Caenorhabditis elegans: one gene and its partners. The protein of the gene in region 4 interacts with the protein of the main gene of each other region in a pairwise test. Each region holds a gene or a part of one and is shown on either strand. Other genes may lie near its edges. The genes, in order: unc-53, F41B4.1, Y50D4A.4 and abi-1.

The links.
Region 1: the proteins of abi-1 (region 4) and unc-53 interact in a two-hybrid assay, tested with the Caenorhabditis elegans proteins (one study listed by BioGRID).
Region 2: the proteins of abi-1 (region 4) and F41B4.1 interact in a two-hybrid assay, tested with the Caenorhabditis elegans proteins (2 studies listed by BioGRID).
Region 3: the proteins of abi-1 (region 4) and Y50D4A.4 interact in a two-hybrid assay, tested with the Caenorhabditis elegans proteins (2 studies listed by BioGRID).

What each region holds. Positions count from the first base shown.
Region 1 is NC_003280.10:11,084,486-11,092,334, forward strand, and holds the start of unc-53 (Adapter protein unc-53), read right to left. Parts: upstream 4,931-7,849; coding exon 4,901-4,930; intron 3,816-4,900; exon of another isoform or gene 3,620-3,815; intron 1-3,619. UniProt on the Caenorhabditis elegans protein: Involved in the migration and outgrowth of muscles, axons and excretory canals.
Region 2 is NC_003284.9:6,821,499-6,828,640, reverse strand, and holds F41B4.1 (ZM domain-containing protein), read left to right. Parts: upstream 1-2,778; 5' UTR 2,779-2,824; coding exon 2,825-2,866; intron 2,867-2,919; coding exon 2,920-3,046; intron 3,047-3,095; coding exon 3,096-3,807; intron 3,808-4,344; coding exon 4,345-4,492; 3' UTR 4,493-4,756; downstream 4,757-7,142. Other genes in the region: gei-15 (GEX Interacting protein), read left to right, coding at 5,395-5,481, 6,097-6,255, 6,302-6,408, 6,937-7,052, 7,101-7,142.
Region 3 is NC_003283.11:1,191,503-1,199,309, reverse strand, and holds the start of Y50D4A.4 (Mic1 domain-containing protein), read left to right. Parts: upstream 1-3,182; 5' UTR 3,183-3,216; coding exon 3,217-3,585; intron 3,586-3,650; coding exon 3,651-3,761; intron 3,762-4,524; coding exon 4,525-4,691; intron 4,692-6,205; coding exon 6,206-6,327; intron 6,328-6,404; coding exon 6,405-6,545; intron 6,546-7,807. Other genes in the region: Y50D4A.6 (uncharacterized protein), read left to right, coding at 268-409, 975-1,099, 1,352-1,360; wrb-1 (Guided entry of tail-anchored proteins factor 1), read right to left, coding at 2,311-2,411, 2,468-2,834, 2,882-2,992, 3,227-3,238.
Region 4 is NC_003281.10:5,686,647-5,694,501, reverse strand, and holds abi-1 (SH3 domain-containing protein), read left to right. Parts: upstream 1-1,771; 5' UTR 1,772-1,795; coding exon 1,796-1,924; intron 1,925-1,971; coding exon 1,972-2,057; intron 2,058-2,103; coding exon 2,104-2,545; intron 2,546-3,036; coding exon 3,037-3,628; intron 3,629-4,112; coding exon 4,113-4,273; 3' UTR 4,274-4,395; downstream 4,396-7,855. Other genes in the region: B0336.13 (Transcription initiation factor IIA small chain homolog), read right to left, coding at 1-53, 168-454; arle-14 (ARF7 effector protein C-terminal domain-containing protein), read right to left, coding at 712-848, 923-1,247, 1,288-1,383, 1,432-1,488.

The DNA of each region.
Region 1 (7,849 bases), on a different chromosome or scaffold from region 4:
CTTCATAATGCGCGAACACACTATGTCCAGCTGTGCAAGAAAAACTAGACACTACGAGATAAAGGGAATATGGCAACATTTTGAGGAATGACATAGTACGAGAAAAAAGAACGGCAGATGGGAATAGTTTTGATAGACTTTAGATGAATATTTTTAGAACAAAATTCTAGCCTAAACATATTAAAACTCTATATTATTCCAACTAATTCCCTAGCAAATTTTCCAAAATTATAGTATTTTTACAGTCGATAAAACCCGGCAATATGAGCCACTTTATAGCGCTAAAGTAGTGCTACTGGGGGATACTAAAACAGAATGCCCAAAAGAGAAGCTCGTTTTTTAAAAGGAAATTTCTTTTCTTTTTTTTTGAATTTATGGAGTTGGGGTCAGAACTGGGGAAGAAGAAGAACAGCGCCTAATTGTGTGGAAGGGAGGAATTTTGAATTTTGAAAAAGAAAAATGTAGAAAAGCAAATCGGAATGGTGTCACTTTAGAACGACATATTATAATTTTCAAAAAATAAATCCAAAAATGTTTATATGTTTTTTTTTCTAAACGTTTACTAAACAAATATCATATTATTGTTTTGAAAACGTTCAAGCTAAATTTAAATTAATTTTTAAGAGAAAATCAAATTGAATCACAAACTAAAAAAATCTATCCTGAAATCAAAAATTCTGCCTTATTAGACATCTTCCAACTCTGGGAATGTGTTTGGTTTTGAGTTTTATGTTTGTCTGGTACATGGAAATCTGAGTATCGTTGTTTGATGGGAAGCAGTGAACATATGCTCAAACATGAACAATATGGACTCCCTGCTGGTGAAATGCAACACCTTCGGAGGCCACATTTTTGCGAAACGAATAAACACGTTCGTGGTGGACACAAATTTGATTGGTTTCAAAGGCGAGGGAGGACCCGCGAACTAATAATAATAATGAGAACAAGAAGAGTAAGGAAATTCGGTGGGTGTAGAGCTCTTTTGAGTTACATATTCTATTGTTGCAAAGAATAATTGAGTGGTAGAAACTAATTAGGTAAATTAGGTAAGATAAATTCAGAAATTAGAATTTTACAATATTCAAGACCCCAGAACAGTTTTGAGCAAATGCAAGTTTTAGGTCTTTGTGCCTCGTTAAAAAAAAAGGGCAGTAGATTTATTTTCTGGGTTTTCTGGTGTAGGCATGAGGTAGGCAAGGAAGGCCTAGAATAGAAGTAAAGCGCAGTCAAAACTATTTCTAACAGAACGAAAAAGAAAATGGAAGCCAGAGAACTCATTGCCGAAGAGCTGGAGATGTAGTGGGTGTGTGTTCGCCAAAGGTGAATTCCCTGGACGATGAGAGAGTGTGGGAGACGAAGAGAATTAGATGAAAATGAAGATAAGGGAGAACTCTTTCGCCTCATCTGGAGAATCAATTGGTTTGATGGAAGACGACAGGAGACGTTGTACGTCCATTTCTCAGCAAATTTTAAACCTTTCAGATTGGAGGGGTGGGACGGTGGACACATTTCTTGAAGTTACAGCTAGAAAGTTAATTGGAGTTTCTCAGAAAAAACACACAGATCGTTTCAGAAAATTTATGAATAACGTGTCTGACTACACTTCAGGAGTGGGCTGCAGATTGCTGGTTTGCCGGTTTGCCGATTTTCCCAAAATTTTGATTTTTGGCCAATTATAGCTGTTTCTCGAAAATCAATTTGCCGTTTTTTTTATAAGACGGAAACACTTAAAACTGTGACTTTTTGAATTTTTTTTGCCGTTTTTTCTGGATATTTTCATAGAATTTGCTTACGTTTCAGAATTCAGAAAAAGATTTCCAAAAAAATTTTACAAACCACAATTTGCCGAAAATGTTCGGCACTTGCCGTTTTTTCCGGCAAATTCAACATATCAGCATCTTGCCGGTTCGCCGATTTGCCGGAATTGTTCCATTCCGGCGATTTGGCAACTTGCCGATTTGTAGGAAAAAATCGTTTGCCGCCCACCAATGACCTACACAGTTCGCTCCTATGACTTTCGATTTGAAAAATAATTAGGCAAAGCGATTCGCCGACTCAATGCTGACAATGTAGTTGATTTTTCACATAAAATCTTTTCAGTTCAGTATATCTTGTTCTATAAAATAACAGTTACAAAAAAACCATCCAAACCTTTATAGAATCCACTGCCAAGTTTGCGGAATTCATCCGCGGAAGGGTGTCCATGAATCCGCATAAAATGTTTTCTACTAAAGCCACAAAGCTGCTCCAAAACGCTTCGAGGTCCTCTCCAGTTCATAACAAACCACGCCCACATTTTTGCCCCTCACAGCTGCCTGCGCGGTAAAGAATCAGTGTGAATGTGTGTGTGACTGCACTTCTGATGACGAGAAGAGAAAAGAACACCACATCAGTTAGTTAGTAAGAATGAGCTAATTATACACTGCTCATTGGAACCCCCACACCGTGAGCATTAACACTGGATTACGTTGCACCCGGGGAGAGGAGCTCCAGTGGTTCCGGTTGTAGGGAAGAAAGCGGTAAACATGCGGATATATTTAGATGTGCTCGCAAACTGATTTGAATTAACTGAGAGCCACTCTTTTCGGGAAAAGAAGACGAAGAAGAAGATGGACCAGCCGCGAAAATAGAATGGTAATTATTTCGAAGTGTGAATTTATTTGCATTCAATCTTAGACCGCCATAAGATTTCCAGTGGTTCCGGTTGTAGGGAAGAATGGTCATGGAATGGGCACTTATGGAGTTGAAAATAGGATTTTATGAATTTACTTTTAAAGCCTTTGAAAAATTTTTTAATATTAACTCTCTGGTTTGAATTTGGAAAACTGATCAAACTAGAGACTCGACACTGAATTCCAGAAAACCGAACCGTTTGTTTTTCTGATTTCACCAATTTTTAATGAGTGATCGCCGACTAATCGGGTAACATTAAAACGTAGATATTCATATTAAATTTTTCTAAAAATTTTCCGGAATATGAAAGTTATAGTAAGTTGCAATTATCCATAATATGGTTAACATCAAACTGAGTACCAAAACTTTTCAAAAATTTCAAATTAATATCAATTTTATCAGAAAAGATTATTATAGACAACTAGATGAATATGTAGACAAGGTACTACTTACGCCTAACCCTTGCCTACATACCTACTGCCAAATATTTTGTAAATCTACACATGTGCAAATGAACTTGGTATGTAGGCACGTAGGCAGTAATATGTACCTACCTACCTTGAGGAGCTCTTTCAAGATCTTATGAAAAATCTCCAAGCTTCTTGGATAATTGAAAATTGACAAATTTCGACAGAATTGACAGACATGCATCCTTTTATTGGAAAATACACAAAATCACATTTTTCTCAATCCAATGTTAAGGGTTTTAATCGAAAATTTGTATAGAAACAAAGAAGAACATACATGTTTTGTTCTCAAAAATTGTTAAAATCCAAAATCTTCCAGAACACTCCCTACATCTCAATTTCCCATTTCCTTCAAAACTTCAAAACTTCCCATAAGTTCTTCAGTACAATTTTATATGTAATCATGAGTTCAACTACTTTTGAACTTGAAATGCATATCCTCCATCACTTCTTTTCCATCCCGCTTCTTGACTTCCAATTTTGCATGTTTCGGAACGAAGCGTCAAAGCAATGCATATGTTAACAGGGAAAAGTGGCATGAATACCATGCCACCAAAACTTTGCTCCGGGAGCCCATCTAGGAGGAAAATAGAGGGGATAATTAGTTTTCAAAAGCAGCTTTTCCCTCCTCCTCCTTCCGTTCGTTCCCATTTTAATTGGTATGCTCAACACGCGGTGAGCATCCTCTCATAATCAGGGACACACACAAGTGAATGCGACAGCTTCGTGCCAATAATTGAATCATTTCGTTTTGCATCACACCAAGAGAAGAAGAAGAAGTAGAAGATGATGAAGCACTTTTCAATTCAAGATTCACCTCGGGGCGGCGGTGGCGAATCATATTTCGACGGAAATATAGGAGGCAGGAAATGGGATGAACCAAATGGGAAAAGCTACTCTGGAACGGCTTGAGATTATTCAAATCGAGTTTGGATTGAGAAGGCTCTTTGGGAAGACAGAAAAATCCTTTAAAAAAAGTGTTGCTCCGAAAGAATTGTGATTTGGAAGAGGATTTCTTCCTCGAAATCTGGGGGTACCTACCAGTGCTGTGCGGCAAATCTCAAAACTTGCAGAGCTCGGAAAATTTGATAAATTTGCAGTGCTTAACAAACTCCGAAAAATGTCATATTCTTTGCAATTTTTTGGAGCAACAAAACTACTGAATTCTTAACAAATTGTATTGTCAAATTTTTTACGTGCGCGGCAAATTTCAAAATTTGCCATGTGCGGCGAATTCGGCAAATCAACTTTTTTGAAATTTGCCGGGCTTAGCAAACGGCAAATTCGGCACATTTGCCGCACACCCCTGGTACCTACTGAAATTCTAATGTTCATTTCAGAAAGATCTAAAAATGTGCAAAAACTATTTTAAAAAATTAGAGAACAATTAATTTTTTCCGTTGGAAAGTTCTACTTGAAATTTTGAAAAATAGAAATTTTGCCTAATCCCCGAAATCTAGGACACCTTCATTTCAAAAAAAAAGTATCCATTCTCCGTGTAATCATTGTACTTTTCCAGATTCCTCTTCCCCGAAAAAATGCTCAAGATCCCCCCAAAAAAAAACCATCATCCATCAACCGTGTTGCGTTTTCTCTGCAACTCTGGAATTCTAACAATCCCAACTCTTTCCCTCTAAAAAAAAGTGGAATCATAGTCCCATGAGGATTGAATTTTGTCCATTTCTACTAGTGAGTGGATGGGTACTCATAAAAGAGTAGTCAGTAGTACATTTGCATAATCTGACACAGAGAGAACTCACTGGTATCAATTCTACATTTGACGTCGTCATTTTATTCGGAGCACCAACATTTCGTTCGATGGAATTGATGTCTGAAAATTTGGAAATGATATGATTCTGCATACAGAAGGACTATGAGATAAGGGCAGAAAACGAACAAAAGTGCTGAAATTGCCGATTTCCGAAATTTTTGAAAACCGGCGATTGCCGATTGCTGGAAATAAAAATTGCCGGAAATAAAAATTTGATACTTTTGTAGATTTAGGAGCCTAAACATGCATTTTAACAAACAATTTTCAATTTTCAAGTTCAAAATTATTTAATCCTAAAAGGATTGATCGTTTACTTTCAAAAAATGACTAACCAAATACTAATAAACAAGGTTAAATATGTTTGATTTCCAAAATATAACTATGTTTGAAAATTGCCGAAGTTGCCGATTGCCGGAAGTTCCAAAACCGGCAATTGTTTAAATTGCCGATTGGCGGAAATTTCCAATTGCCACGTGGGACCGCAAGATAATTTTAAAAGAACCTTCCACAGAAAATTAATATAAACAATGAATAGTAATAAATAACAATTTAGCTCAAAAAGATGCATATACACTGACTACTCCAAAAATGTGCTAATTCCATTATACAAACCCAGGATGGAATAAAAACTAGAGAAAATGGGCAGGAAGCGGCGACGCGGATGGGGATTAAACAAACATGGAAAAGTGAGAAGAAAAGGAAAAAAAGAGACACCGATCATGTCGTTGTCACATTGTGGATTATGCAGAAGGATGATGACAGAACTACAACACCTTCATGGGCGGCCTAAATGATTTGTTTAAGGGTCTCATAAAATATTTTGGTAGCAGGGAAAGGAGGAGAATGAAAACTATTTGTTGGTGGTAGAATATGATTATAGAGCGTGGGTGTTTTGTTGGATAATAAAATTTTTATGGTTGTTTGGAATTTTCCTGGTAGCAGGAAAATTGGCAAATCAAACCGTTTGAAAATTTTAGCTGTGAAGTTCCAGCTAGAAGGTCCCCCTTAAAAAATGTTGAGGTTACCAGAAACTGGTAAAAATTTCTGATGAGGATTTGAACAATTTTCAGTTTTATAGAAAATTTTCATATGTTTTTGGAAACGCTCTGAAACGCTGGCTTACTAGGGATTTTTGTAACTGTGCGGTAGCTGAAATTTCGGGTTTTCAGAATCTACAATTTGTTCTAGCAAAATATCCCTGTGAGTCTGGAAATTTTAATTTGAAAAAAAACTATTCTCAGAAACTATACTCTATTGATGCTGATAAAATACAGTGTACACTGAATAATTTTGACGTGGCACAAGACTCTGCAATTAAAAATCACATTTAACAATGTGATTTTTAATCTCTACAGCTCTAGCTGATGGTATCATGGTATTAACAATACTTTGCCAAAATTGAAAACTCAACTAATTGTAAAAATACAGCCGAATCGGAAAGATGACAGATGCGCAACAGGTTGCTCAATTCGGTCATGTGGAAATTGGCAGATTTTGTTTTCTGTGACCTAGAGAAATTTTGAACTGTAAGCATAGCTGGCGAATTTTCGGTTTTTAGTAGTTTTGGAAATGGTATGGTACATCTGGCGAGGCAATTTTGACAATATTGGTAGCTGCCAAAATTTCAAGTTACTTGCCATTTCCAGCAATTTTTAAATCTAACTATATCTCAAAGTATCATAAAATTGCCAGAACTTGAATATTATAAAATTGCCAAAACTGTAAAATACTAAATACATGCATTTTTCGAAACAAAAATGGCATCTAGATCTAGATTTACAAAAAAATAAAAAAATAAATGTATTTCCTCCTTTAGTATTGTACCTGGTTAGTTTAATTTGAAAGGTGTACACCTTGGTTCATTTTGAAACAGCGATAGAAAAATAACTGACACCAGTTGACAATTTTTGTATAAAATAAACGACAACAGAGATATAAGCTGTCAAAGTTAAAAAATATCTAGAAGAAATAAGGTATTTATAAGAACTAAACCATCCTTGCTTTTTGCAAAAATGTGGGAAATGTATAATATGAAATAGTAATCGTTGTATAATTAAATAGTTAGCCTCCTGATTCCAGTTCCGAAACTACATAAAGCTTGCCCAACCACCCACAAAGAAATAATCATTGCCACATGGGCTATCGGGCTAAACGATGTTTTTTTGTTTCCAACATGACTTGGGATCCTAGTCCAACAAAAACTGAAATCAAAATGGAAAGTTTCCGGAAAAGACCAGAAATTGCACAATTCTGGTTCCTTTGGCACGGCCGGAGAGAATAGACAAAATTGATGAGCCAAAACAAAAAGAGAAGAGCCAGGCGGGTGAAGCTTGTTGCTCCGAACGTCCAAATCGAGTTAGTTTTCCCTCTTTTTGGAAACGAAAAGACAGAGGGCAGAAGAAGAAAGAGGAAAAGAAAAACCCGAGTAACGGAAACAAAACATGAAGTGCTGAAAAGAAAGCGAAAAAAAAAAAGAAACAAGACGATGATGATGAAAACACTTTGGGAATACTAACCCAATGTCTCTCCAAATGTTATTTATATCATTAGCAGCAACTAGTACATTTGTAGAGGAAATTCTTGGAGTACAAAAAATACCAAGAAATGGTTTTGTCGCCAAAACCTAACGAGACCAAAATTTTAGGGGCAGTGTAGCGCCGTTGCACCTCGATGATTTGATAGACAAAAGTTGTTCCAATATTTGCATTTATGCTGATAATGGGTCCCGCCGCGCTTGTTTTTAATTTTCATTGAGGAATTTCTAATGCCATAAAGTTATTTTACGAGTTCCAAAAATTAAACCAACATCTTCGTGCGACCCATCTGATTAAAAATTTGAAAATAACACCTGGACCACATGGTGCCAGGTTGTCCCATCACGGTTTGATCTACGAAAAAATGTGGGAATTTTTTCGCCCAAAAAATGTTACATAAGTTC
Region 2 (7,142 bases), on a different chromosome or scaffold from region 4:
TGTCAATTTCTGAAGGCAGTAATTCTCAAAATCTTCTGTTCTCTAAATATTGGGTGCTTTTCGATGCCCTTTGTAGACAAATCAATGGGAAAATTGTCAATTTCTGAAGGCAGTAATTCTCAAAATCTTCTGTTCTCTAAATATTGAGTGCTTTTCGATGCCCTATGTAGACAAATCAATGGGAAAATTGTCAATTTCTGAAGGCAGTAATTCTCAAAATCTTCTGTTCTCTAAATATTGAGTGCTTTTCGATGCCCTATGTAGACAAATCAATGGGAAAATTGTCAATTTCTGAAGGCAGTAATTCTCAAAATCTTCTGTTCTCTAAATATTGAGTGCTTTTCGATGCCCTATGTAGACAAATCAATGGGAAAATTGTCAATTTCTGAAGGCAGTAATTCTCAAAATCTTCTGTTCTCTAAATATTGAGTGCTTTTCGATGCCCTATGTAGACAAATCAATGGGAAAATTGTCAATTTCTGAAGGCAGTAATTCTCAAAATCTTCTGTTCTCTAAATATTGAGTGCTTTTCGATGCCCTTTGTAGACAAATCAATGGGAAAATTGTCAATTTCTGAAGGCAGTAATTCTCAAAATCTTCTGTTCTCTAAATATTGAGTTCTTTTCGATGCCCTATGTAGACAAATCAATGGGAAAATTGTCAATTTCTGAAGGCAGTAATTCTCAAAATCTTCTGTTCTCTAAATATTGAGTGCTTTTCGATGCCCTATGTAGACAAATCAATGGGAAAATTGTCAATTTCTGAAGGCAGTAATTCTCAAAATCTTCTGTTCTCTAAATATTGGGTGCTTTTCGATGCCCTTTGTAGACAAATCAATGGGAAAATTGTCAATTTCTGAAGGCAGTAATTCTCAAAATCTTCTGTTCTCTAAATATTGGGTGCTTTTCGATGCCCTTTGTAGACAAATCAATGGGAAAATTGTCAATTTCTGAAGGCAGTAATTCTCAAAATCTTCTGTTCTCTAAATATTGAGTGCTTTTCGATGCACTATGTAGACAAATCAATGGGAAAATTGTCAATTTCTGAAGGCAGTAATTCTCAAAATCTTCTGTTCTCTAAATATTGAGTGCTTTTCGATGCACTATGTAGACAAATCAATGGGAAAATTGTCAATTTCTGAAGGCAGTAATTCTCAAAATCTTCTGTTCTCTAAATATTGAGTGCTTTTCGATGCCCTATGTAGACAAATCAATGGGAAAATTGTCAATTTCTGAAGGCAGTAATTCTCAAAATCTTCTGTTCTCTAAATATTGAGTGCTTTTCGATGCCCTATGTAGACAAATCAATGGGAAAATTGTCAATTTCTGAAGGCAGTAATTCTCAAAATCTTCTGTTCTCTAAATATTGAGTGCTTTTCGATGCCCTATGTAGACAAATCAATGGGAAAATTGTCAATTTCTGAAGGCAGTAATTCTCAAAATCTTCTGTTCTCTAAATATTGGGTGCTTTTCGATGCCCTTTGTAGACAAATCAATGGGAAAATTGTCAATTTCTGAAGGCAGTAATTCTCAAAATCTTCTGTTCTCTAAATATTGGGTGCTTTTCGATGCCCTTTGTAGACAAATCAATGGGAAAATTGTCAATTTCTGAAGGCAGTAATTCTCAAAATCTTCTGTTCTCTAAATATTGGGTGCTTTTCGATGCCCTTTGTAGACAAATCAATGGGAAAATTGTCAATTTCTGAAGGCAGTAATTCTCAAAATCTTCTGTTCTCTAAATATTGGGTGCTTTTCGATGCCCTTTGTAGACAAATCAATGGGAAAATTGTCAATTTCTGAAGGCAGTAATCCTCAAAATCTTCTGTTCTCTAAATATTGAGTGCTTTTCGATGCCCTATGTAGACAAATCAATGGGAAAATTGTCAATTTCTGAAGGCAGTAATTCTCAAAATCTTCTGTTCTCTAAATATTGGGTGCTTTTCGATGCCCTTTGTAGACAAATCAATGGGAAAATTGTCAATTTCTGAAGGCAGTAATTCTCAAAATCTTCTGTTCTCTAAATATTGAGTGCTTTTCGATGCCCTATGTAGACAAATCAATGGGAAAATTGTCAATTTCTGAAGGCAGTAATTCTCAAAATCTTCTGTTCTCTAAATATTGGGTGCTTTTCGATGCCCTTTGTAGACAAATCAATGGGAAAATTGTCAATTTCTGAAGGCAGTAATTCTCAAAATCTTCTGTTCTCTAAATATTGGGTGCTTTTCGATGCCCTATGTAGACAAATCAATGGGAAAATTGTCAATTTCTGAAGGCAACCTATGCATGTGTGCACCGAAACATTAAAATTTCATTTTGTCAAATTAACCATGACAGTAAGGCATTAGGGTTGTTGTGTTGTTTTACCACTAGATTCGCATTTTTCTATTCTGAGCAGTTCATCAAATCCCTTTTAACACGGGAAAAACATTTGACACCAACCAGTCTCCACGGTGAAAAATGAAGATGAGAAAAATGCTTTTCTGATCGACAACCATGCACAGATGTTACCTCCCACACAATGGATGTGGCCCGTAGCAAAGAGCTGGTAGAAAGAAGATAAAAAAAGCGATCACAAGTGAGACGAGACAAACAACAACTGAAAAAAAAACAGATAGAAGCACAAAAACTTTTCTTTCTAACCCACATTACACCGTCACGCTCTATCGCTGAACCTCTTCGACATCTGAACTCTTCTCCTGTGTCTCTAGTCATCAAAGTTTTGTCACCGTCGCGAAATAGGTTTGGCACTGCCAAAGAGTTTTCTGCTTTTCTTTTCTTCGTTTCTGTTTTTCACTTTTCTTCAATTTTACTTCAACATTTCAGAAATGTCCTATTCGACCTATCTACCGAACAACTATCACAATGATGTAAGCTACCAAATTTCTAGTTTAATAATGTTTTTTGTATTCGAAACTTTCAGACCAAAATTTGCATTAATGGTGTGGAATTATTGAATCGACATGAAATTTCTTCCACTCAAGATCGAGAGCTTCAACGATTCATCGACAACAATGCTCATATAATTCAATACCAAGAGAGGGAACTTCGTGAGTTAAAATTACAGCATTCTAGATTAACATAACCAATTTTTTACAGCTCCACCGCCTCCTCCACGTAAGACGCCATCTCACAAATATGAAGAAATGAGAAGAAGTTTGAGCCGTGGTCCATCTTCAACTCTCGAGCGGTATAGCTCGATGGACAAACTTTTGGGATCACAAAATCGCGAGAAAAACGTTGAAATTGAGCAAGGAATTAATCCGAGAGACTTACCAGTATGCCCGAATATTGACGGACACAATTATACAGCAGAATTTCCTGGACTCGAATATTTATCCGACAACAAATTTATTGAGAACCTTATCAAAGCCGGTCAGGTTTCCATCGGAAATACGGGAATGATCAGTCAGCCAGGCTCCCGTGTTGGGTCCGCGATGAGCGCTCCATACTCTCAAAACCAATCCGCAAACTCAACTCTGACCCGTCAATCGCATTCTCAATCTCACACCCTTCCTCATCAAATGCCGCAGTATCAGCAATATCATCGCCACGCGACGCCACCAGCACCCGCACCACAACATCAAAACAACACCAATTATTACACCGAAAATACGACCTCCACTACCAGCTACCACCCAACAAGTGTAACATATGGTAGCTCAAATGCTAACAGTCAATATGGAGGCAGTCAGAGTCAATATGGAAGTATGAGCAATGTCGGAACTGGAAGTACTTATGGAACACTGAAAGGTGGCATGAAGCATACATCAACTCTCCCGCCAACAAGCCCATACAGCAGTTTGAAGAGGTAATATACAAATACAGAAAATATAATTTCAAGCTAATGATTTCTTTGGCAGAAATTTCATTTATTAGACAATTTAAAGATACACTATGTATAGATTCATTAAAAATACACTATATATGGTATAGATTATGTATAGAAAGATAGTTTCAAATTTAAGGTAAAACTGAATTACATAACTCGTTGAACTAGCTCTTTAAAAACTATCAGAATTTTTTGGCTATGTGACACCTCTTGTCAATTACAGCATGAATTAAGTTTCAGAGTTATTTGTTATTAATGAAATTGTCTAGTGAATCCAGACAGACAAATAACAGTTATGACATTAAATGTCTCATCTGGTAATTTTTGCCACTGTCCCAAAAATATAACCTCTTTTCTGGAGAGTCTATTATATGTTAAATAAGATTCTTAAAATAGTTAATAACCGAAAAAAGACGCCAAATTTATTTCATTGGTACATACTTTATTTGGTTTGCCAAGGGCGCTAATACAAATATAAGAAATGAACCTGAATTCCTAAACAAAATCTATTTGCAGAAAAGGAGTGAGCTGGCTCGATCAGGAACGTGCGCGTTCACTGTCTCCAGGTCTACATCAATCCACATCTACAAGCCGACATGTTCATCAACAGTACAATCGTCCGGCTTCGACGATTCACACAACGACTTACACCACTACTTATTAACTCCTCGATATTCTATGTATAATTTTTTCAAATTTTTCTTGCAATTTTTTTTCAGAAAAATGTTCTTAAAATTGTTGCACGCCAATTATCTTCAAAAGCTTCAAATTGTGCTCTACGTAACTGTTAATTTTCTTTTTCCTCTTTTCTCCCCGGTCAAGAATTTTCTGCCTGTTCGTATTTTTATGTGTTTCGTTTTCTTTTCTTTTCTCGCAAGAATTAGTCGAAAGCATATGTGTACAATAAAATGTTACACCCCAAACCAAATCCACTTCATAACTCGATAGTCATCTGGAGAAACCCGCCCAGTCATGGGAAAACAATGCGGGTTTAGGATTAGGAATAACAGTTCAAGTCTCATGATATCATGAAACAATCAAACAAATGCCGATTTTCTTATTATTTTTTAATAATTATTATTGATGGACAGTTTTTTTCACAATTTAAAAATCTTAACCAACTGATCTTTGGATCCAATCAAAAGTTCGAAGATAATTTAGCTGCTGTGAGAACTCTTTTGTTTTGTGCACCTTTTCATCAATTTTTCAAAACCACCGATCCGAACGGCGCAAGATCGTCTGCTGAGAGATAAAGAACAAGAGAGAAGAAGTGCCGTTGTGCCATATGTTATCGAATGATATCTCTTCTCCCTCCTCCCACTCGCCGCCGATTCCCGATGCCATCGTTTTCTTTCGTCCTGCTCTTCGGCCCGAGACAGAAAGACAAGAAACGGCATAAAGATATTGAGAGTCGCGTGGCAAATTCTTTTTTTGCTTTCATCATTTTTCTTGATCCTTCTGATTCTCAACTTTTTTCAATACTTTTCTCTTGTTGTAACTGTCATTTTTTGCCAACTTTGGAGAAAGACGTGTACTGTTTTCAGAATACATCCAAACTCAAACAACATGTCTGAGTACGGCAGCGCTGCCAATTTAAGTAACTTCCGTGAAAGAACCGGAAGTCCTTCTTATGCTTCCCTTGGAAAACATAGGGTTCGTTTATTTGATTGGTAGATTTTTTTTTAATTCAGTTCGAAATTTTAAAATATTTTCAAGTTTTCGTTTTTTTCGGCGTGAAATTCAAGAACTATTTGAATGACCCATATTTTTTTTACTGTATATAAAACACTTATTCCGTCTTTTTTTAGTTCAGAGTAGAATTTCTGTATTTTCAAAAATGTTTTTTTCCAAAATTAATGTTCTTGTATGTCAACGGTTATTTTATATTTCCTTAGTGGCCTACCCTGGTATTAAAAACTGATACATCAATTTATGATAATTCTGTTTTGAACTTGATTCCAAACAAATCAATCATGAAAAACGCTACGATAAATCCGAAATTTTTCCGTCTGTTGGGTGCGTAGGCGCAAAACAAAGCTCACTGCATTCCGTGTTGTAAAGTCAGAAACAGATATCTTTGGATCCCTCGATGAGACGATGGCGGGAAGGAGAGCATCGTTGTCTCAACGATCAATACTCAATTCAATGACGTATCCGTTTCATTGCTTTTTCGGCGACCCACGCGGGATAAGAACACAACAATCAAAATTGAATAGTTCATAAAACGCAAAGTGTTTGGAAAACTTGAACAAAATATATGAATTCCAGGACGATTACAATCGGTTTGAAACTGCCCGCCACGCGATGAACAGTCGTGCTAATCGCTCCCAAACTAGTCAGGAAAAGGAGGAAATCCGTTTTGGAGGATTCGGCGACCGTGCTGGAAGTGGAGTTGAGCTGACCGGCTTTAACTGGTCTGGAGGAGAAGTGAGCAGTTTCAATGACATTCGCAAAAATAGATATTTATGTTTAGGTTATCAACTCTCCACAACAACTTCCCAAAGCAATTAAGCCAAGAACTATGTTTTATTCCCCAATCGGTGATGGAACTGTTGCTGCTGATGGTTATGAGCTCAAGAGGTACACATGATCGATATTTTTGAAAAATATTTTTAAAGAACAAGAGAAAGGGTTGAAATTTTCAACATACTTGAAATATCAATGATTTTATTGTCAAGATAATTCATGAAGTCCAAAAGAGAGCAAATTTCGACTTCAGCATTTTGTTTGAAATATTTTAATTTTAATTTTTTTAAACAAAACATTAGCATCTTTTTTATGAGAAAGTCGGATTAGAAAACTTTTGGAGGTTCAAGAATGAGGATTTTTTAAAATTAGTATCAAATAAGATTTTATAGAGATTCTTTTGAAGAACATCCATATTGTGGTTTTAAGTGTACAGTTATTTGATTAAATAGAATCTAAAGCTTACGCGGTCTCAAATATTGTGAAAAAGTGCACTGAAAATGTTGCAGATAGATTATTATCTAGTTTTCTAGTTTTTGAACGTTCTTTTCTATATGAAACAGCCTTTATTCAGAAGTTCGGGATTAAGTTCAAATATTTTCAAAAGTTAGTAACATTTTTTATGATAAATCTAATTTTTAGACGACCAATGGATCTGTCCCCCAAGGTTACTGTCACCCAACTCCAACATATCGAGCGTGGAGCTAAAGGGCACGACGGAGTGAATATTATTGAGAAAAACTGGAGTACTGGAGGATGTAAGTTTCATAAGTTTTCATACAGTTTTCGCAAATTGTTGATTTTAGCCGTTCCTGCTAGTGAAGCCGGATTTGGTAGTGAATATGGAC
Region 3 (7,807 bases), on a different chromosome or scaffold from region 4:
CGTGGCGTTTTACGAGACCATCAATGCTGAGAATGCGTATTGTGCAACATATCTGACGCACATTACATCTCCTAGCGAAGACCACAGTAATTCTTTAAATGATTACTGTAGCTCTGATACGGGAACGTAAAATTCAGAGAATGCGTATTGCGCAACATATCTGACGCGCAAAATATCTCGTAGCGAAAACTACAGTAATTCTTTAAATGACTACTGTAGTGGTTGTGGCGATTCGAGGGCTCGATTTTTGAATTATGCGCGTCAGATATGCTGCGCAATACGCATTCTCATAATTTTGTGTTCCATATATGGGCCCTGCCAAGACCGCGTCCAACGACCGGCCAGCAGGCCGTCCGGCTGAATCACAACGACTGGCACCGCAAACATTGGAGACGCCGACAGGAAGAAGGTTTTTTTTTAAATTTTTTTTAACATTAAACTTATTGAAATTAAGAATGTTCAAAAACTTAAAATTGAAAAACGTAAAACATAACTCTAGAATACGTCAAACCCAGCTAATTTTCTGCACAGAAGACCCAAAAAATCAGTTTTCTCCGACTACAGCAACCCTACAGCACCTCCTGAGCACTTTCTCAACACAAAACTCGGCAAACTTTCTTTTCGAAACCCAGCAGAAATAGTAATCCTAGAGAACAACTAGTTTTTTCTAGCTTCATATTTCACTAAAATTAAATTTGTAATGTAGTTCCCGATCGATTTTCCATCGTAATTCACTCGAATTAGTTATTAAATATACTTTCTTATCGATTTTGCGTCCTAATTTTCAAGATTCATACGGAAAGAGTGGGTAATATAAAAAAAATGGTCCCTGGTTTGATTAGAAACAATTCTAACAGCGCAGATCGATAAAACTTGAAAATTAGGGCGGAAAATCAATGAAAAAGTGCGTTTAATAACTAATTAGAGTGAATTATGACGGAAAATCAATCGCGGGAAATACATTTACAATTAAGCCCGTGGAGCCAACGCGTCCGATGACTCTGATGGATTCGATGATGAGAATAGCGATGATAATGGAGATGCTGATGGAAATGTCGATGTCGATGCACCCGGTCCGAGAGTCCCGAAACTGGAGGAGGTATGAAAATAGGAAACGAATTTCTATTCGCAATATACATCAAGCCTTTCTGTTCGTTTTCAAAGCCGAGAAAACGAGCAGCATTTCGTGAAAAATTGAAAATTTTCTGTTTTCGAATTTTAAAATTCTAAAAATTCAACAAAAAAAAAATCAAAAAATTTCGATTTTATAGAATTTCTAAAATTTGAAAAACGGAAAATCTAGAATTTTGAATTTTCAAAATTCGCTAGTTGCATAATTTATTACTTTCAGCAATGGTAATCATCTGCATCGTCGGCTCTTCTTCACATCCACTTCTCGCCCTTTATTGATCGAATAGCTCTTCCTTGTCTGTGTAAAATTCTTTCATTTATTTTATGTCGAATCGTGATATCAATAAATAGCTTGATTTGAAGTGGAAATTCTTGGCGAAGATGTTGAAAAAAGCCGGTAGTTAGTCTGAAAGTTAGATTAATTACTTATAAACGCGTATTTTAAAGGCGGAATATCCAATTTAGCTTCTGAGTCCTAATAACTATCTTCAAAAAATTAGTGAATTTCATTTTTGCCCGCTTAAGTTTTTTAAATGCGCGCGCAAAGAAATGAGTCCCCACGAAAAGGGAAGCAGAACGAAAAGGGGATCTGCAAAAAGGGGATCTGCGAAAAGGGGAGATACGAAAAGGGGAGATACGAAAAGGGGAGCAACGAAAAGGGGAGCTGGCACTGTGCCAAACGCACAAAACGCAATTTTTCTCACGCAACGCACGTTGATTTTTGAAATTTTCTTCTAGAAGATACGCTTAACAACACGCGACGCGTAACATCGGAGCATCGTTGTATCGTTTTCTTCGAGAAAAATAGCGTTTGGCACAGTGCCAGATCCCCTTTTCGTTGCTCCCCTTTTCGTATCTCCCCTTTTCGCAGATCCCCTTTTTGCAGATCCCCTTTTCGTTCTGCTCCCCTTTTCGTGGGGCCTCAAAGAAATTCTCAGTGGAGCGCGCTTACTTGGTGTCGATTTACGGGAGCGTTTCAGTTTTTCAGCGTGTTTTTACGATTTTTATCAGTTTTTTTTTTTGAGAAATAGAAATGTTTTGTGTCAATTTAGCATTTTATTAGCTCGCAATTTGAATATACAATTGTATATTCAAAAAAAAAATATTAAAAGACCCGAGTCGAGAGAAATAGTCATGAAACAGGAAACAGGAAAAAACAAAATTTAAAAAAAAATTAGATTAATCAGTCTTCAGGTCCGATTTTCTGAATGTCTTGAGCGCCAGATTTAGCAGATGGATCATCAGAAATGTGAGCGCGAATCCGGAAACTTCGGCGAATTCTGAAAAAAAAGAAAAGAAATATTTATATTTAAATAATTAATTCATTAATTCATACCGGCCGGGCAGGAGTCATTTCCGAAAACCGCTGGGAATCGAACAAGTACGTTGAAAGGCCAAAAAATAGTATCCGGAATGCAGTAGGCAGTGATGGCGGACACGTGTCTCAGAAGAAAAAGTGCGGAGAATTGCATAAAAACTTTGACAACTGTGTCGATTTTCAAGTTCCTCGAGTTTTCAGACGGGCTAGCGGCTTCCAAAGCAGCTAATTCTTCGCTGGCTTTATTCATTTCTCGATCCTTCTTGAAATATCGTGCAAATTCGGCGGTCGGAGAGATTCCGTGCAGCTCTCGCTTCAAATCGGCAATTTTTAGCTTCAACGCGACGACTTTTGGGCTGGGCTTTGGCTTGGACAGTGATTTGATCTGAAAAATATATATTTGTGATTTTAGAGTAATAATATCGAACAAACCGTGCTAGAAATGGTGGAAACAATTTGTGAGCTATAAATCGCAAATGTTGCAGAACAGATTACAGCGATGACATTGAAAATTGATATTTGAACCGGTTTCGACTCGTCCATCTGAAAATTAATGTGAAATTTATTAATTTTGGACATTTTGGAAGCAAAAATCCGTAATTTCTTAAGAAATATAAATTAAAATTAAATATAAAACAACGACACTCCGAAATTCCGCACAAAGTCCGCAATGTGTTTGCGTACTTTGCATTTTAATTGACGACATTTTTTTCTCTTTGGTTATTTTTTATCTATTTTTGCAGAAAAAATAATAAACATTAAAAAAAATGCTCGAACTTGGCGCCTCATTCATCCCGTTCGAACCAGACCGCTCCTCTCACGACGGAAACATCACGCGCAACTTTTTCGACTGCTCCAGCCAGCGAATATGCACAATGAGGAACAACGGGGCGCTGGGACTCACTTCGAAATCGCTGAAAAACGATAAAATAATGAATGTCCGAACAAAGGATCGCGGGGAGCCTTCTACTGTGAAATTTTCGCCCGATGGCCGGCTCTGTGCGATGCAACGCACCCCAACCACCGCAGACGTGGTTTTTTTGGAAAAAACCGAGACTTCTCTGTGTTTGGAGTTAACAGTCAACACAAAGTCGAAAGAACCATTGCTGGCAGTTGAATGGGTCACTAATAATCAGGTTGGTTGGAGCGAAAAAAAATTGTAAAAAAATCAATTTTCGCCTGAAAAAATCGATTTTTGCAGCTCCTCCTCGTGAACAACCATAGTGCCGAATTATTATACATTAATGAGGATAAAAAGTCGTCGAAATTGTTAAAAGCGACAAATGTCAACGCTGCATGGGCAATTTATTATGTAAATTCGAACAATTTGTCAAGATTTTGGCGGCGCCAGTGGAGAAATTGCTTTAAAACATGCCTATGGTACCAAAACGACCAAATATCATGGTAAAAAATTGGAAACTTTTTTATAAATTTTATATGATTTTTTGAAAATTGAAAAAATCTCAGTTTTTGCCTAATTCCTATTTGAATTACCGCCAATTGGATTTGTTCGATGGAGCGCGCTTGCACGTATTTAAATTTATTTATTTTATTTGTTTCTTATTTTCCACCGATTTTTATTGTTTTCGGTGTATTTTTGCTCGAATTTTAGAGAAAAGGCCAAGATAAATGTAAATTTTCGATTAAAAAGCACGCTTACAGGCGTAAAAATGACAAAGTAACGATTTTATACGATTTCGAACCTATTAATATAATTAATTTCACTAATTTACGCCTGTGAGCGTGCTTTTTAATCGAAAATTTGCATTTATCATGACTTTTTCTCTAAAATTCAAGCAAAAATACATCGAAAACATTAAAAATCGGTGGAAAATAACAAAAAATAAAATAAATAAATTTAAAAACATGCAAGCGCGCTCCATCGAACAAATCCAATTGGCGGAAGTTCAAATAGGAATTAGGCAAAATCTGAGATTTTTTCAATTTTCAAAAAATCATATATAATTTAGAATTTTTTTTTTGAATTTTTTAACCATGATTTTAGGCCATTTCGGTAATTTCCCCACTGGGCGCACTCCACCTTTAAATTTAAAATTTAAACACATAAATTTCAGGCGCCCAGTCAGCTGCTTCTCATCGCAAATGGCCAGTCTTGTTCATATCTTCAGCCATTCGTTGTGACGCACTCCCAGTTTACTAGAATGAAGGGGTTTGAAGTCGATTTTGGAGGATCCATATCGAAGGAGAACTTTCTGGAAAAAGACGCGGCGATTGCCACGATGTAATATCGCTTCCATGGAGCGCGTTTGCTGACCCTTGCCGTTGAAAATTGCAGTTTTTTAAAAGCTTTATCACAATTTTTTCGCGCAAATTTGAACGAAAAATATTATTTTAAATGGATAAAATCGAAGGTTTTGGGCAAGGATACAAAATGAACGAAAATCAACGTATTTTTAACTCAAAAACTCTTTACCGGTTTTTACCGGATTTTTACAATTTTCAACTGAAAAACTCCAATTTTTCCGGAATTTTTACGATTTTTAGCTTTAAAAAACTCAATTTTTTCCGGATTTTTACAATTTATAGTTGGTGGGCGGCAAACGGGACTTCCGGCGAATTGCCGGAATTTAAAACTTCCGGCAAATCGGCAATTTGCCGAAATTTAATACTTCTTGCGAATCGGCAAATTGCCGGAATTGAATATTTCTGGCGAATCGGCAAATTGCCAGAATTGCCGGAATTTAAAATTTCCGGCAAATCGGAAAATTGCCGGAATTAAAATTTCCGGAAAATCGGCAAATTGCCAGAATTGCCGGAATTTAAAACTTCCGGCAAATTGCCAAAATTGAATACTTCCGGCAAATCGGCAAATTGCCAGAATTGCCGGAATTTAAAACTTCCGGCAAATGCCAAAATTGAATACTTCTGGCGAGTCGGCTAATTGGCAGAATTTAAAATTTCCGGCAAATCAGCCAATTGCAGGAATTGAATAATTCCGGCAAATCGACAAATTGCCGGAATTGAAAACCTCCAGCAAATTGGCAAATTGCCGGAATTAAAATTTCCCTCAAATCGGTAAATTGCCAAAATTTGAAACTTCCGGCAAATCGGAAAATTGCCAGAATTGCCGGAATTTAAAACTTCCGGCAAAATTCGGCAAATTGCCAAAATTGAATACTTCTGGCGAGTCGGCTAATTGGCAGAATTAAAAACTCCCGGAAAATCGGCAAATTGCAGGAATTGAATACTTCTGGCGAATCGGCAAAATGCCAGAATTGCCGGAATTTAAAATTTCCGGCAAATCAGCGAATTGCAGGAATTGAAAACCTCCAGCAAATTGGCAAATTGCCGGAATTTGAAACTTCCGGCAAATCAGCGAATTGCAGGAATTGAATAATTCCGGCAAATCAACAAATTGCCGGAATTGAAAACCTCCAGCAAATTGGTAAATTGTCGGAATTTAAATTTCCGGCAAATCGGCAAATTGCCGGAATTAAAAATTCCCGGAAAATCGGCAAATTGCAGGAATTGAATACTTCTGGCGAATCGGCAAAATGCCAGAATTGCCGGAAGTTAAAATTTCCGGCAAATCAGCGAATTGCAGGAATTGAATAATTCCGGCAAATCGGTCAAATTGCCGGAATTGAAAACCTCCAGCAAATTGGCAAATTGTCGGAATTTGAAACTTCCGGCAAATCGGCAAATTGCCGGACTTTAAAATTTCCGGCAAATCGACAAATTTTGCCGAACGACAATTGGGATTTCCACATTGAAACAATTATTCCTATTTTTCAGATATGGCAGAGTTTATGTGCTAGTGTTCAAATACAGTAACCGGAACGCCACAGTGCTCGATCTCTATGAATTGCCATTTGATGCGGCTACAGGACCCAGTTTCAAGCATTCATTAATTTTAGGTGCTGAATAAAATTAATTTAAATTTTTTTTTTAATTTATAAAAATAAACAAAAAATTAATCAAAAATAATTTTCAGGATTCAATGGTGGCTGTGGTATTCATGTAATCGATAATTTGGTCGTTGTACATCACCAGGCGTCGCAAAAATCGCTGATTTTTGATATAAGAGTCAGCTCGCCGAGCAAGAGTCATTCACCTCTTGTTGTCACCACAATAGGTACTTGAACGACGACTAACGGAGCTTTTCAGAAAATTATTTTTAAAAAATTTTAAAAAAAGGAGCAACACATGTTCAAAAATTTAATCTATTTTTCGAAAAATCAAAAAACTAATTCGAAATTTCGAAAAAATTTTCCAATTTTTTTTTAAATTAAAAAAAAAGTTAGAAAATTAACTTGAAATTCGATTTTTTTTACCAAATTCTGTTTACATTGAAAATTTATTGATTTTCTGAAAAATTGAAAAATCAATAAAAAATTGATGAAAAAAAAAACTAAAATTTTCATCAATTTTTCGAAAAAAAAATTCAAAATATCGGAAAATCGAAAGTTATTAATTTTTGATTTTTTTTTAAATTAAAAAATGTTTGTTTTTCGATTAAAAATTTCGATTTTTAAAAAATTAAACCGATTTTATTCTAAAAAATCGAAAATTTTTCGTTTTTTATTTAAATCGGAAAACAAACATTTTTCGATAAAAAAAAACGAAAGACAAAAATTTTCCAAATTTATTCATAAAACCGAAAAACGAAAATTTTTCGTTTTTTTTTTAAATCGAAAAACAAAATGAAACCGAATTTTATTTTTTGAAAATCGAAAAAAAAATCGATTTTATCAAGAAAAAACCAACATATCGGAAAATGGAAAATGATTAATTTTCGATTTTTAAAATCTCGAAACTCGAAAAAAATTAGTTTTTCGATTTTATTTTTATAAAAACGCCAAAAAATTTTAATTTTCCGATGTTATAAAAAAACCGAAAATTTTCCGTTTTTCTACGTAAAAACGAAAAAATTTCGATTTTTTTAAAATTAAATCGATTTTATTTAAAAAAAAAATTGAAAAATCTCCGAAAGCCGAGATTCACAACGGAGCTTTTCAGAAAAATATTTAAAAAAAACCAACTATTTTTAAAAATTGTTTCTGGAAAATTGAAAAATCGAAAAAAAAATTTTGGCATAAAATTCGATTTTTTTAAAAATCTGATTTCGTTTATATTGAGGAGAAAATCCATGAAAAAACATAAACATTTCTTTCAAAAAAGAGGAAAAATTACCAAATTTTAATATATTTTTGGAAAAAAAAAGCAAAAAATCGGAAATTTTTCGATTTTTTCAACATTGAAAACTGGAAAAAAATGTTTCAGAAAATTGTCCATAAAATTCGATTTCTATTGATAAGAGAAAAAATGTTCCGTCTAAAAAAGAAAATTTTGGTCAATTTTTCGAAAAAAAAAATCGGAAACGCGAAAATGATTAAT
Region 4 (7,855 bases):
TCAATGTCTGCAGAAGGCTTGTTTGACGACCATCACAGGCGACCACTTTCAGTCTGAAATATTAATAATTATAGATCATCGAGAAACAAAAATTTTTATAGAAAATTAATAAACAATTGCTTTTTTCTAGATTTTTTATTTTTAATACAAATAAAAGAAACACTCACTTATCAATAGGCTCATCAAACGATCGCTGGGGATCTTTCAACGTGACATTATTGAGAATAAACGTCCAAACGTTATCACAATATCGATAAGTGAGCAGTTGTGTCGCACAAAAATTCATTTTCTCTTTTGGAAGCCGCGAGATTTGCTTGTTCATGCTTTTATCAAATTGTTGCAGAACTTTCGAAGCAAGAGATTTCGTGAGAAGTCCTTCGGATTCCATGTCCTCAAGAGTTTTATCGAGTGCCTGACCCAGTGTGGTCCCTCGGTAAAGAGCGTATGACGACATTTCTGGAAGATTCTGAAATATCGTTGGATTAAATTTTTCTCGAGAAGATGCCAGATATATTTTCAGATTATCAACCGAGAAACTATGGATTAGTATGACAAAAAAGAACAAAAACAAACAATATCTTTAGTTTTTAATGAACATCGAGATTGAATTTTTCACAAAGACATGTATAAAACAGTTCAAAATAGATAATACCAGTACAAGAAAAAGGGGAACATACATAAGAGGTTAAAATTGATAAAACGATAAGGCATTTAATCCTTGATTTGGCCCGGAAAATAAGGATTAATATTGACAACAGGGCCCGGGGCTTCCGTCACTGTGTACATCTCCTCGACGCGTATCACCATTTCTTTTCGATTTTGACGACATCCGATGAGACATTTGCGAGCTGAAAAATGCATTTTTCTTTGTTTAAAGAATTTTTAGAACAAATATTTTTAGTTAATGAATATCATCTCTTACATTTGCACTGCTTACATGGCCAATGGCACCCATCACACTCCACCACGAGACAATCACAAAGATCGAAAAACAAAGTCTGTCCTTTTGCGGTAACCGAAAGTTTTCCTGTTTTGTCATGATGCAAAGGTTCGTCTCTCAGATCCGCCTGCTTCTCCGCGGCTACACGTTTCGAGCGGTTGGTGCTAATAATATCCACAGAGTCGGGCAAAAATCGAGACATTTCATCTCCTGGATTCGCGAACTGGAGGCCTTGAAGCTCTCGGTGTGCCATTCTCGTTCGACGGCTCGTTCCTGAACTTTCCTTTCGAGATGATGGCTGCAACTTCTGGGAACTTTGTTAAAATTTTCTTTATTCAAAAGCGTACCTTTGTTTCGAAATCGTCAAAAAGCTCCGCATCGACTTCATCGCAAATCTCGGAATCTTGTTGCATTTCACTATCCGTCGAGAAATCATTTTCAAGCTGAAAAAAATACAAAAATTAAATACATTAAAATTTCAAATTTCAAACCTCTGCTGCAGCTTTCGCCAGACCGGCAATTTGTGCGAGAACGTCATTGGAGCTCATTTTTAGAATTATTGGTTCAGAAATTTAGTAGGAAATATGATTTATATCGATTTAATTTGAATATATCCGAGGAAATTCTATTATTCGATATGCTCTCCTCGCGGGAAATAACATGTGCGTACCACTTGCGAAAAAGCGCGCCGCGCGTTGCATTCTGTGACCACGCCCTCATTAATTTCTTATTCATTCAGTTCCTTTGAGTGTTTTTCATGAAATTTCTGCTGTCAATTTATTATTTTTAAAATATTTTTCTAAACGTTAGTTAACTTTTAGTTTGTTACAGATGCTACATAATGGGGAAGGCGGAATGAGTGTTAATGATCTTCAAGAGCTCATCGAGCGACGGATACCCGATAATCGAGCTCAACTGGAAACGAGTCATGCGAATCTTCAACAAGTTGCCGCGTATTGTGAGGATAATTATATACAATCAAACGTGTGGTTTAATTTTTTCTTTTAAGTTTATGAATTAAACGTTTTCAGAATAAATCTGCTGCGCTAGAGGAATCCAAGAAATTCGCGATCCAGGCACTCGCCAGCGTAGCCTACCAGATTAACAAGATGGTTACGTAAGTATTTCAATTAATTTGTTTTAATTATGAATCTTTTTTTCAGAGATTTACACGATATGCTTGCTCTACAAACCGATAAAGTGAACTCTTTAACAAATCAAGTTCAATATGTTAGCCAAGTAGTTGATGTACATAAAGAGAAGCTTGCAAGACGAGAAATTGGTTCTCTCACAACCAATAAAACATTATTCAAGCAACCCAAAATCATTGCACCAGCAATCCCAGATGAAAAGCAGAGATATCAACGAACGCCCATCGATTTTTCTGTTCTTGACGGAATAGGGCATGGTGTCAGAACATCGGATCCACCGAGAGCAGCACCAATCTCAAGAGCAACTTCATCAATTTCTGGCAGTTCTCCATCACAATTTCACAATGAATCTCCAGCGTATGGAGTTTATGCTGGTGAACGAACGGCTACGTTAGGAAGAACAATGAGACCGTATGCTCCATCAATTGCTCCATCGGATTATCGGTTGCCACAGGTGAACATTTGAAATATTCATAGAGGCTGAAAATAATTTGCTTTTCGTGTTTTTGACAAAACGTTTTCAAAAAAAAAAGGGAGCGAAAAATTCTGACATAACTTATACATTTTAAATTTTAAACTTTTTTTTCTGAAAAATACACTCAATATTGAAAAAAAAGTGAACCATTGATAAATTTATTCAAAAAACGGTTTTTTTGACCCAAAACGACCGCATTTCATAATGAGACTTCTGAAAATATCGAAAAAAAATTTAGAGCGAGCCTGAATAAGAATCTGAAATCCTTGTTACAGCAGTTAGATACAGTATTTATTGAATAATCACATAATTAATTTTGAAATTTTTTAGAAGTCTTTTTATGAAATTCAATGTTTCAGGCTAGTTTTTGTCGACTTCAGACTAAACAACTAATTTTTAAAAAATCAGCTCATTTCCTTTTCAAAAAATTAATCAAGTTTTTTCTAACATAATCCGATTACTTTTTACAGGTCACACCACAATCAGAATCACGAATCGGCCGTCAAATGAGCCACGGATCAGAGTTCGGAGATCATATGAGCGGTGGTGGTGGAAGCGGAAGTCAACACGGATCATCAGACTATAATTCCATTTATCAACCTGATCGTTACGGAACTATTCGAGCTGGTGGTCGGACTACAGTGGATGGTAGCTTTTCTATTCCCAGACTATCATCTGCACAAAGTAGTGCTGGAGGTCCAGAATCACCAACATTCCCACTTCCACCACCAGCTATGAATTATACTGGATATGTTGCACCGGGAAGTGTGGTACAACAACAACAACAACAACAAATGCAACAACAAAATTATGGAACTATTCGAAAATCAACGGTGAACCGACATGATCTTCCACCTCCACCAAATTCTTTGCTCACTGGAATGTCAAGTCGAATGCCAACACAAGATGATATGGATGATCTACCACCTCCACCAGAATCAGTTGGTGGGTCATCAGCGTATGGAGTGTTTGCTGGTAGAACAGAATCGTACAGTTCGAGTCAGCCACCAAGTCTCTTTGATACGAGTGCTGGATGGATGCCCAACGAGTATTTGGAAAAAGGTATTTTTGGAGATTTTAATTTGATTGAAAAATTGTCGGAAAAAAATTCTCTAAGCTTTTCTGTATTATTTTACGATTTAGAAAATTGGCTAAAATTGTTAGTGAAAAATTTATTATAAAAACCGAAAAAAGTTTAAAAAAATTAAATTTAATAAAAATTTAAAAAAGAGAAAAAAACAAAAAATTTTGTGATATTGGAAAGTGATTTTGAAAAATTCAAATATCTCCAAATTTTTTTTTTTTGAGAATTTTCAAATTTTGAAAATTATAAGCTTTGATTTTTTAAAAAGTTATCTTTTTAGCTTTTATTTTCGAAAAAAACGAAAAATAAATTTCCTTTAAAAACATCGGAGTATCAAAAAAATCCAAAAAGAATCGAAATCTTAAGTTGTAAAATGCGATTTTTTGCAGAATTTTTAATGTTACAAAGCAATTATATTTGTCAATTTAAACATTTTCGAAAAAAACCAATCTTTTTTTTCAGTACGGGTCCTGTACGACTATGATGCTGCAAAAGAAGACGAGTTGACACTTCGCGAGAACGCAATTGTCTACGTACTGAAAAAGAACGATGACGACTGGTATGAAGGTGTCTTGGATGGAGTCACTGGGCTTTTCCCTGGAAACTACGTAGTTCCAGTATGATAACAAGAAATGCTAACCCTGCTAAATCAATTGCTTTTAATCTCACTTTTATTCATATTCATATATTGCCTTTTGCCTCGAGTACTTGTATGTGAAAAGCCAAAAATAAACGATGGATATGTAATCATGAAGGAAGCAGTGGTCCCCTCGTTTGCAGCAGTGAGAAGCCTAAAAATAGCCAATACGACTGCTATTTTCGAGTCTCGACGCATTTCCTGAACGCATGTGCTCGTTCTCTCACTGCCCCCGTACTACTCTCTTTTGGTTTTCCTAGGGGCTCGCCTATTTAATGAGATTGCTCATTTTCTCTTCATGCACACACATTCATTCATTTTCTTATATTTTTGTGCCTTCTTATTTCTTTTCCTCTCCTCTCTAGTTTATTTTTTCTTCTATTTTAGAATTTTAAATAATTCATGTTCGGCACGACGAATAGTGACGCCAAAGAGTTTGCAAGGCGTGGGAATTGTATCTTTTTTGGTGGGCGGTGGACACAGATTTTCTTAGAGGAGGAACAAAGGTCAAAAATACAAGCAGAATTCTTGAACAGTTGAAATTCCCGCGCGATTTCCAATAAGATGACTTGGATCGCGGTGGGACCTTAACTATTGCACAGACGCAAAATTTTGTCATTTTTGCGCCAAAATACGGTACTCGGTCTCGACACGACAATTTTTTATTGGATAAAAACGGATGTGCACCTTTAAAGAGTTCAGTACTTTCAAAAATTTGTTGCTGCATGCTGCATGAAAACTCCATGAAAATTTAAAAGCAACGGAAGTTTGAAACTACAGTACTCGTTAAAGGCGCACATCCCTTTTTATTTAGCAAAAAAGTGTCGTGTCGAGACCGCATACCGTATTTTTTTATCTTTTAACTTTAAAATATGAAACTCTGCAGAGTACTCTGCTCATAAAAAGAAACAAAAATTCGCTTTAATTGGAAAATTCGAGAAACATTTCAGTCAGAAAAACAAAACATTGTTTTTTTTTTCGAAAAACACGAGACCTCAATTAAGAAAAGTCGGTTTGTTGTTTTGTTGGTGCTCTTAAACTGCGGTTAATCTTCCATTCAAAAGCATCTAATACAAAAAGTACCAGTAATTATATTTAAATCGGTTCAAATACCTCATGGGACAAATTTGAATTGGCATATTTATTTTTTGATAAACATTTTTTTTCCGACCTTAACTCTTGTATAACAATGAAATCTAATCTTGTTGCTATTAAACACAATTTCTGACGAAAAACTACGGAACCTGGTCTCGACGCGACCGGAAATTTCAGGCATAGAAGAGTGTGTACCTTTAAAGATTACCGTAGTTTCTCAGTTTTTTTTTGCAATTTTTATCCACCCCTTTTTAAAGCTGTTTTTCGAAAAACTAATTTTTCGAAAAGAAAAAATATCGATGATAATTGAACACAATTGCGTAAAACAGAATTTCGCAACTACAGTACTCTTTAAAGGCGCACTCTCTTTTGCGAAACTCTCGGTCGCGTCGAGACCGGGTACCGTTATTTTTTTTGTATTTTCTTGCAACTTGGTAATAATTGCAATCTGAATTGCAAAGAAATTTTGGTGCTCCATACGCGCATTTCAGTATTTTCAATTTTCAAAAGTTCCCTTATTTTTAAACCAAAGCACATTTCATTTCAGTGTTCTTGTGGCTCTTTTTTCTCTATTTTCTATCTTTTCAGAGTGTCCTGTGTCCCTTCTCCCCTCCCCTACCAGGGCGTGACGTCGGTACGCTCCTCTTCTTACGTCTTTCCATATCTCTGTACTCTCTGTACTCTCTCTATCTCTCTCACACACACAACAGAAAGAGCTCACCAACTTGTCTATTCTCTATTTACATATTTCGTCAATCTTTTTCTCTCTTCACAGGGGCGGCTACCGATCCGTTCTTTCGCAAAAAACCCTCGGAAATAGTAAACCCCAGAGTCATCATTGATAGTTATAAATAGACATCTTTATGTGAACTCACCTGTTTTTATTTTATTTTATTTATTGCAAAATCCATTTATCTGGAATGTTCTTTAACAAGAGTTCAAGCATCTTCCTTATTTTTATTTGAAAACCTTCAAGTTGCTTTACTCTTTTTGTTTTCGTTGTTTCAGTGATCGAAAATCAGTTTTAAAGGCTCATTTAAAAAATCTATGGCCGATTTTCTTTCAATATGCCAAAAAAAATTAGTGGCCGAACTTTCTGCTTTTTAGGCCACGTTGCATAAACGAGAACGGTACCTCAATTTATCCCTTGATTTTCAAGTTTTTTGCCAAAAAAAGAAATTAATGAAAAATATTGGTAATAACGGAGAAAAATCACTAAAAGACAGATTATTTAGTATTTAAAAAAATTGGTGGCCGATTGTTCTCTTTTTCTAGGCCACGTCGCAAGTAGCCTTTTTTTCAGAAATATTCAACAATAATTCAACATTCATATTTTCAAGACTATTTCAATAATCTGAATCGAGCAATTTTCCTATTAATAATAATAAAATCTTCAATTCCAGACCGGCCCAAATTTCAAAGAATCCCCACAAATTGAGTTATTCAAAAAAAATCGTTCTGGCGAAAATCTCCTGTTTCTTGGATTTAGTTTTTTATTCTTCCTTTCTGGAAATCCGTTTCTAAGAAAATGAAAATTCGATTTAAAAAAGAATTTAAAGCATTTTGATTTCATTTTCAAAACCTTTTAGACTTTTAGATTCACTAAAAAGTTGACAACTAGCAAAATAAAAACAAATTTAATTCTGAGGAATATGCTCTCAGAAACATGATAAATTGTCAACTAACCAGATATTGCAAAAGATCAGATCAAAATCACACAGTTTAAAATTCACCACCAATTTTCCTTATCAATCACAATTTTTATCAATTCATTTTCACCAAAAAAGTCTGACATTTTTGTAGAATTTTTCCGTTTTTCCGTGTTAACAAGATCAACTTCACTGACACCAATAAATTCCGGTAAATGATCAAAAATTAGCGCTGAGAATCAAGAAAATTTTAATCGTATTGTAAATTTGAGTACCTACGACAATGACTGAGTATTTACGTCAAAATGTGAACAAACTAGACTGCCTGTAAACATTTCTCTGTCTGTGTGCTTTTTGATACAGATACTTTATTTTTCAGTTTTGGTGTTGATTTATGAGATTAATAGATGATACTGTATGGATTTTTCTGTTAAAAATTTTTAGATCAAAGTTGCAACTTTTTTTTCCAAATAAAACTGTTATTACGTTCTTTAATTTCCCGGAATAAATGAAAATTCCAACATTTGCATATTTTTATCAAAATTTTGTGGATAATTTTTTATCCGAAGAAAAAACAATTTCCAAAAAAGAGGAAACGCCAACAAAATGGATAGGTTTTATTTTATAAAAATTGAAAGACCACACCGGCAATATCGCCGACATTTATTTCTATAAAAGAATTTTTAAAGTTTTAAAATGTCTTGTTTTCCGGCTGTTGGTGTTGCCCTCCAGCTGTCCAATGCTCATTGAGTTTTTTCTTGGCTCCACGAGCTCAAAGATGAGCTTCAGAGTTCTTCATCGGAATGTGTTTTTTTTTTGCCTGG